Macaca fascicularis: one gene and its partner. The protein of the gene in region 2 interacts with the protein of the main gene of each other region in a biochemical or structural test. Links are inferred from orthologs where the notes say so. Each region holds a gene or a part of one and is shown on either strand. Other genes may lie near its edges.

What was found.
Region 1: of the proteins of IFIH1 (region 2) and TRIM65, one has a biochemical effect on the other in vitro, tested with the Homo sapiens proteins (2 studies listed by BioGRID, with this or other methods). The link is inferred for Macaca fascicularis from reciprocal best matches to the Homo sapiens genes IFIH1 and TRIM65.

What each region holds. Positions count from the first base shown.
Region 1 is NC_088390.1:82,303,693-82,307,601, forward strand, and holds the start of TRIM65 (E3 ubiquitin-protein ligase TRIM65), read right to left. Parts: upstream 2,332-3,909; 5' UTR 2,250-2,331; coding exon 1,842-2,249; intron 1-1,841. UniProt on the Homo sapiens protein: E3 ubiquitin ligase that plays a role in several processes including innate immnity, autophagy or inflammation.
Region 2 is NC_088386.1:57,786,499-57,790,407, forward strand, and holds the start of IFIH1 (interferon-induced helicase C domain-containing protein 1), read right to left. Parts: upstream 2,873-3,909; 5' UTR 2,515-2,872; coding exon 2,062-2,514; intron 1-2,061.

The DNA of each region.
Region 1 (3,909 bases), on a different chromosome or scaffold from region 2:
TACAGGCGCCCGCCACCAGGCCCAGCTAATTTTTTGTATTTTTAGTAGAGACGGGGTTTCACTGTGTTAGCCAGGATGGTCTCAATCTCCTGATCTCGTGATCCGCCCGCCTCGGCTCCCAAAGTGCTGGGATCACAGGTGTGAGCCACCGCGCCCGGTGGTGGCCAGGCTGCGGTGGGTCTGGCCCCCTCCCACTCCCGGCGGCAGCGCCTGCTTGTGGAGGCGACACTCGCGCATGGTGCACACGCTGCACACGCAGCAGCTCTCGGTCCGGCAGAAGAGCTCCAGCGGCTGCCCGTGGCGGGGGCAGCGCGCGGCAGGGCCGGGGTCCCAGGTGCCACAGACCCGTCCCCTGGTTTGTCCCACTGGCGACTGTCACCTCTATACGTCCAAGGCCAAACTCTGCCCTCCACCTATGTCTCTCAGCACACAGACCCCAGCCACCTGCGTGCTCAAGACAGAATACCCAGGTGTCTCCCTTGCTGCCCTCTCTGCTGTCCCCCATGTCCCCTCTGGCCTGCTTTCGCCTCCACAAGGCACTGCTCCCCCTCAGCGTTTCTCATCTCCTCCATCCTGGTCTCCTTTCCCTGCCCTCCAAATGGTTCCTTGCCTCCCTGCACTCCTGCCCTGGGCTCCTACCCTATTCAGGTCTTGCGTCCTGCCCCTTTCAGCCCCCAGCCAGGTGATCAGTCTCCACGAAGCCCAAATCTGATCATGTGCCACCCTGCTTCCAAGCCTACAATGGCTCCCATGACACTAGAGTAAGAGACAGGCTCCCCCAGGACCCTGCCCGATCTGGCGCCTGCTGACCCCGGGGCCTGGCCTACAGATCTCAGTGGCACAAATCTGCCACTAGCCACCCCGCGTGCCCAGTTCTTTCCCATCCCAGAGAGGGAAGCAGGCTGATTCCTCTGCCTAGAATGCACTTCCCCAGGTCTTTCTCCTCCCGGCTGGTGCTTCCTCAGCCCTCACATGCCAGCCTGAAGGCGGCCTCCCCTTCCTCCTCCTGGCCTGTTTAGCAGGGTCACCCCGACACCTCTATCACATGCTATGTACTTTCCTCACTGCATTTTGCAAGAATACATTCAGGCCTTACTGGAACACTGACTTCTTAAGTGGATTCTAAGTCTCTTAAGGGCAGGGAGCTCGTCTATCCATTTACCAACAGCCCCCATACCCCCCTCACCCCTCCACCCCCACCCCGCACAGCGAATTAAAGCAGACACACGACTGTTCTCTAGCGCCTGGGCACGGAGCAGGGAGCTGCTGCCTCATGCCCAGGCTTTTTTCATCCGGAAGGCATCCAGCAGCTCCTGAGACCCACCCTGCGGCACTGGCCGGGCTGCACATCCCAGTCCGATGCACAGATGCGAGATATTTTTTTTTCATTTTGAGATGGAGTCTGGCTCTGTCGCCCAGACTGGAGTGCAGTGGCCGGATCTCGGCTCACTGCAAGCTCCGCCTCCCGGGTTCACGCCATTCTCCTGCCTCAGCCTCCCGAGTAGCTGGGACTACAGGCGCCCGCCACCACGCCCGGCTAATTTTTTGTATTTTTAGTAGAGACGGGGTTTCACCGTGTTAGCCAGGATGGTCTCGATCTCCTGACCTCGTGATCCACCCGCCTCGGCTCCCAAACTGCGGGGATTACAGGCGTAAGCCACCGCGCCTGGCAGACCCGCGATTTTTATAATCAACTCCCAGGTTGGGCGAAGCCCCTCCAGTTGAGGCTCCCCTCCCCCACCGGGTGCTCGGAGAGAGCAGGGCGCGGCCCGCAGGAGTCATCCTGCGGTGGCCAGGCCGCGGCGGGTCCGGCCCCCTCCTGTTCCCGGCGGACGCGTCACCTGGCGCTTGAGGCGCTCGGCGTCCAGCAGCGCCCGCTCGTGGAGGCGACATTCGTGCACGGTGCACACGCTGCATACGCAGCGGCCCTCGGTACGGCAGAAGAGCTCCATTGGCCGCCCATGGCGGGGGCAGCGCGCGGCAGGGCCGGGGCCGGGGTCGGGGCCGGGGTCCCGGGCGGGCCCGGCGTGCACCACCTCCAGCACGCCACTGAGGGCTACGTTGCGGCGCAGCTCGGCGCCGTCGGGGAAGGGCTCCCGGCACTCGGGGCACGCCTTCCCGCAGCGATCCCACCAGTCCCGGATGCAGGCTCCGCAGAAGTTGTGGCCGCAGGGCAGCGTCACTGGGTCCTGGTAGAGTCCCAGGCAGATGGCGCAGGTCAGCTTCTCCTCCAGTAGCTGCACGGCCATGGCCCGCTGGCGGTGGGAGCCAGGCGGGCCCCGGAATTCTCAAAGGGACAGCCGGCCTCGCGTACTGAGGGCGCCCGGGCGTGGCTAACGCGGGGCGGGGCGAGGCCAGGTCCCCGCCCCGGAAGCCGGGCCCTTCTCCGACACCTTCGACCAGCGACCTCCGCAGGGGCCTAGGCCACCCCTGCCCGCCTCGGCCTGGGCCGTTCGAAGGCTCCGCGTTCCGGCATTGCGCCCCTCCCTCCCTCTAGGCACCGCGCCACCCCGGCTGAGAGCTGGGTTCGGCTCTCTCGGGTCCCAGCCTGGCGGGTCCATCCCACCCCCGTGGGCCTTCAGCCCAGGTCCTGGAGACCAGAGGCTCGAAAATCCCGCCCCGCCTCCGGGCTTCTGACCACGGGTCGCGCGGAACCTCTTCTGGACTCATCTGTCAATGGCCTAAGGGCATAGACCACCCGCGCAATCCCCCGGGGCTCGGCGACGAAACGAAAGTCAGTGCACGTGGGCTGGCGGGCTCCCTGCAGACCCGAGCACTGCTGCACTTTTTCCTGGAGCTGGGTTTCGGGCACTTGCCAGACTGGGGTGTCTTCCTTCTCTGGGCTACACGTAATTTTGGTTATTTTAAAGTAAACAGCGAGATGGAAATGTCTGGTCACCAACAGACAGGGACCAGTTAACTGGTATTTTTCAAATGGCCCTTGAATGAGTACACAAACCAGCTTTCAGCTGCAATCAGCATCCCCTCTCCCTGCTGCCCTCTGCTGGGGAGTTTCTTGCCTGGGGTCCGAGCTGATCTGCAGCCTCAGTATTTAGAGGCACTCCAGCATTTCCCCTGCAGCTGAGCAGGCAAGGCGGGTCTGGGGCCTAGCGCCCACCTCCCTGGCAGTGTGTATCAGGCCAGGGGGAACCCCAGGAGAGCAAGGCCTTTCTATCTAACCAAGCTCGGCTGATGTTGCGGCGGCACGAGCTCTCACTGCTGCAGCAAGCACTGCGTCCTGTGTGCGGCCACCGGCGAAGTTTCTGGAAAAAGTGCACGGATCTACCCTCCACCTACTAGTTAGCCAGACTTCTGCTTTTGGTAAGGGAGAAACAAAACACCTAACCGTCCAGCCGCAGGCTCCATGGGCTTTCTGACCCTGAGCAGGTCTCTTGAGTCACGCTGTTACCTACCTAATGTGGCTTCTCCTCCCAAGCATGGGGTGGGGGCGGGAGTCTGTGCAGAGGGTCAGTGCTGGGGCAGGCACTCTCTCTCCAGGGGCCCGGTGGGACCCCGTGGGGCACACAGCCAGTGCTCAATAAATGCTCCCTCCTGAGCCCAGCTGCTCTGCTCCACTTTTTCGGGGAGCTGGGTTTCAGGCACCTGCTGGATTGGGATGTCCGTCTCCCTTCCCAGGGCCACACCTGTTTTTGGCCCACTGCCTGCTTTTGCTTCGGATCCCAGGGTCCCCGACACCCTCAGAAGATGGAGGTCAGGGTGCACCTGGTGGGGTGGGAGGCAGCCCCTTTCCCACCCATGAGTACAGCTCCATCGGGGTCCTCTGGCCCTGGAACACCGAACCAGGCCAGCTATGGCAGAAATCATCTTTTTTTTTTTTTTTTTTTTAATAGAGGCAGGGTTTCATTATGTTGCCCAGGCTGGTCTTGAACTCCTGGGCTCAAGCGATCC
Region 2 (3,909 bases):
AATGACCACCACCTCAATATAGATTATTCTTCCAAACATAATGCTTGCTTCTCATTGTCCACCATAGCTTATTTTTGGAACTGATAATACATGTAAAATGATGCACACAACAATTATTCCAGACTCTCACAGAGATACTATTACTTCCTAGAGAGCCTCAAATGTATAGCTGCTTAGTCTTTCGGGGCCTCCTTTGAAATGTGAATCAGAGGGAGAATTTGGGTTGCTTTGGCCTTAACTGCTACTAGTACAAGAAAGTCCCTTTACTCTATATCTTCTTTGTGTCAAATCCCTTGCATTACTGCTAGCTGCCTCCAAGCTTGCCAGAATCAAGAACTTGGATAAAATCTAGCTGGCGGAAATTCAATCCAGGCAAGACAAAAGTGATGCTGATAGGCAGAAGTATTTAGAGTAAATAGGGAGAAGTGCTGTTTCGCTGGCAATCGGGACATCATACCCACCAAACATAAACAGCTTTGTGGTGTTACTGGACTCTGTTGCTTCTGGACTTCTAACAGCTACTGTGGCTGGAAATGCCATCTTCCATCTCCAGCTGGCTTGAAGGCTGCATACTTTCTTCCAAATTAAGATTCTGCCACAGTGATGTACACATTTGTCATATCCAGCTGGACTACTATAATGCGTTCTAGCTTGTTCTCAATACACAAAACGACATAAACATTACAGACAACAGTGCAAAGTAATTTACTTGTTGGGAAAACTGGCCATCAAAATTAGATGCATGTTTGGGTCTTTGGACAGGCCCTGTGTCTGTCAAGTCTACAAAAGATCACTAACTTTATTCACTAAAGACTAAATTACATCATAGGCTATAGCCAATCAATCAAATGCCCAGAAGTTAGTAATGAATACACAAACAATGGATGAACCAAAAAGAGAGGAAAAAAATGTGAAAATCATACAGTGGTGTAGACAAAGCCTTTGACTTTTAGTCATGGCTTTATTCGTCTACATGTCTTCCAAAACAAGACTTTTGACTTACGAGCCTGAGTAAGTCAGATGCAAACAGGTCAGCATTTATACACACCTCAGTACATCTTCACTTATCAAAAAACAATTCATATCACATTTAATGTAAAGTCATCAGTAAAATTCGCCCTGTCAAAATGCCACCTTAAGAAAAATCCAGTTTCTCCACTAACATGAAAAACTGAAATTAGCAACACATTCTTTCAATGAATTGTTTTTAAATTTTGATTCTCAGAAAATGTAGAAACTTTGATTAAAGAAAGAGAAAAGGGTGTGTGTGTGTGTGTGTGTGTGTGTGTGTGTGTGTGTGTGTGATTGCAATTTACCCATTTGGGCTAAGAATAAATGGCACAATATGTAATGTGGGGCAAAGATTGGAAAACTTTTTCTCTAAAATGCCAGATAATACATATTTTCGGCTTTAAGGGCACATAGTCTCCATCCAATTGCCTTTGGAGTAGAAAGGCAGCCACAAACAATATGTAAACAAACGAACATGACTGTGTTCCAATAAAACTTTATGAACACTGAAAATTAAAAATTGAAAAATCTAGAGACCGTCCTTAGCCTGGGGGCCTGAAAAAAACAGTAGCAGGCTGGATTTAGCCCGTGGGCCGTAGTTTGCTGACCCCTGCTCCGTGCAACTACATTAAATAAGAAAAACATTCAACACTTTGGGCAAATTATTTAATCTGCCTCAGGTTTTCTCATCTGCAAAATGGAGTTAATAACATTAGGAGCCTCAGTGGGTTACTCTGAACATGAACTGTAGTAATACATTTTGAAAATGATACCAAGTGCACATAGTAAGTGTTCAATACATGTTACCTGTTAATATACATTACAATTCTAAAGTTAACTCCTTTTTAGTTCAGTGAAAAGATTAGAAAAGTAGTTCTTTTGTGTTTAAATTTTCAACATTGTCTTAAAGTGCCTAGATGTTGTCTTCTCAAAGGAAGAAACTAGATGTGCCCAAAGATGTCATGCACATTTGGAAAGGGGCAAACGCACAAGGAAACCTGCTTTGCAAAATCTGCCTAAAAGGCTAGCTCCGTCTGAACAGACACCTACCCGGTTTCTGTCTTCAATTGTCAACAGTTCCTCCTCCATGCACTTATCCAAGACGTCTCTAACTAGAAGCTTGTCCACCAGAGTGGGCTGAAGGAGGTTCAGCAGTTGGAGACATTCATCATGAGCGTTCTCAAACGATGGAGAGGGCAAGTCAGTGAGCTCAGGGTTCATGTAGCGGGCGGCCAGAGGGCTGCCCGCTCTTCGGAGGGCCTCCACGAATTCCCGAGTCCAACCAAGGTGCCAGACTCCCTTCTCCAAGGTGCTCAGGAGCAGTTCAACTGCCTGCATGTTCCCGGAGGTGGCGACCGTCCTCTGAATCTGCTCCTTCACCTCTGCAGGCAGAAAGGTCAGGTAGTCCAGCACAGGCTCCACCTGGATGTACATTTTCACCCTGGCCCTGAAGCACGAGATGAGATAGCGGAAATTCTCGTCTGTGGAATACCCATTCGACATCTTTCTTTCTCAGAGAAGGGAGAGTGTTCTCCCAAGCAGATGGTGCTGTTCTTTGCGGGACAGGTGAGATGTGCGTGCCGCTGTCCGCTGCCCACTTGGAGGAGAAGGGTCTACCTCTCTGTGCCTGACAACGACCAGGTTGCCCGCAGAGCCCTCCGGCCGGCGCGCGGGGCTGCGGTCGCACCTGGGCAGGTGGGCAGGTGGGCAGCGGGGAGGCGCGCGGGGCCGCGGGCGCGGCACTTTGGACTCTGCGGTGTGCACCCCGGGTCCCGAACCGGGTCGATCCGGCTGCACAGACGGGTAGGAGCTTCGAGTCTAGCTTTCTGTCAGGCAGTTTTTAAGGAGTTTCCCAGACTTTGGTTTCTGTTTCGATTCTCTTTTCAGGACTTTGCAAACGTAATCGGCCTAGAGGGGAGGGAGTTTCCTCAGGGAGGCGCCACCTTTTGGTCGGGGCGGGTGAAGACGGGAGGCCTTTGGTCAAGGACACCGCGGGAAACAGAAAAGGAAAGCGAATTCTCTCTGGCACCAAGACCAACACTCTAGCAAAGCTCCTCCTGCGGTTATTTTGTTTTCCCAGCGGGGTTCTGCCTTAACAATCAGGTCCTTTGTAGGTCAAAACGTGCAGTGCATAAAAGCCTGTGATTTGGGACTTTCCAATGGGGAAGTGAACAGAAACTGCCACAGACCCGGCCGTGAACAGGGAGTTACCCTCGGCTGGTGAATGCAGCAAGGCAGGCCTGGCTGAGGTTGGTGAGACTGCGAGGGACAGGTGAGAGATGAAGCTCAGAAGACATCTTTGCAGAGATGTGGAGAAGCCAGGAGGAAGTCACCTCTGTGCCCTCCCTAAAATAAACCTGACCTCCCGTGGGTTCCCAGACACTAACTTGTTTCCCTGGGAATTTGCAGGTGGGTACGAAAAAGTGAGTAACAATAAACAGTTAACTTTACTGCCTCATATTTAGGTTGCTGGTATTTATGCAGCTTTGACCAGAACCTGGTAACAGATGTGGATGGCCTTGAACCACCAACTCAGCTTATACGGAAGTCAAGACTGAAGGCTTCCTAGATTCCAGCTTGTAAGTTCCCTATATTCTTTAATATACAACTTTCCTTTAATAAAACAAAACAAAAAAATCCCCCAACAACTTATTTTTGATATAGCTGCCATTCTTTTCTTGGATTCAATACAGCAAGTTTTGGCTGGAGCAGCTAGGAACTTAATTAGCAACTAATGTACCAACTTGTAGTAAACATCAACATTTGTCTATGTCATGAGAGAAAAAAAACATATTCACACTGAAAAATGGCAGCTTCATTTTGGTACAGAAGCCACATGAATGTGAGTCCTTAAGGTTACTTCTCATTTAGGAGGCATTCTGTAGTCACGTGTGACTG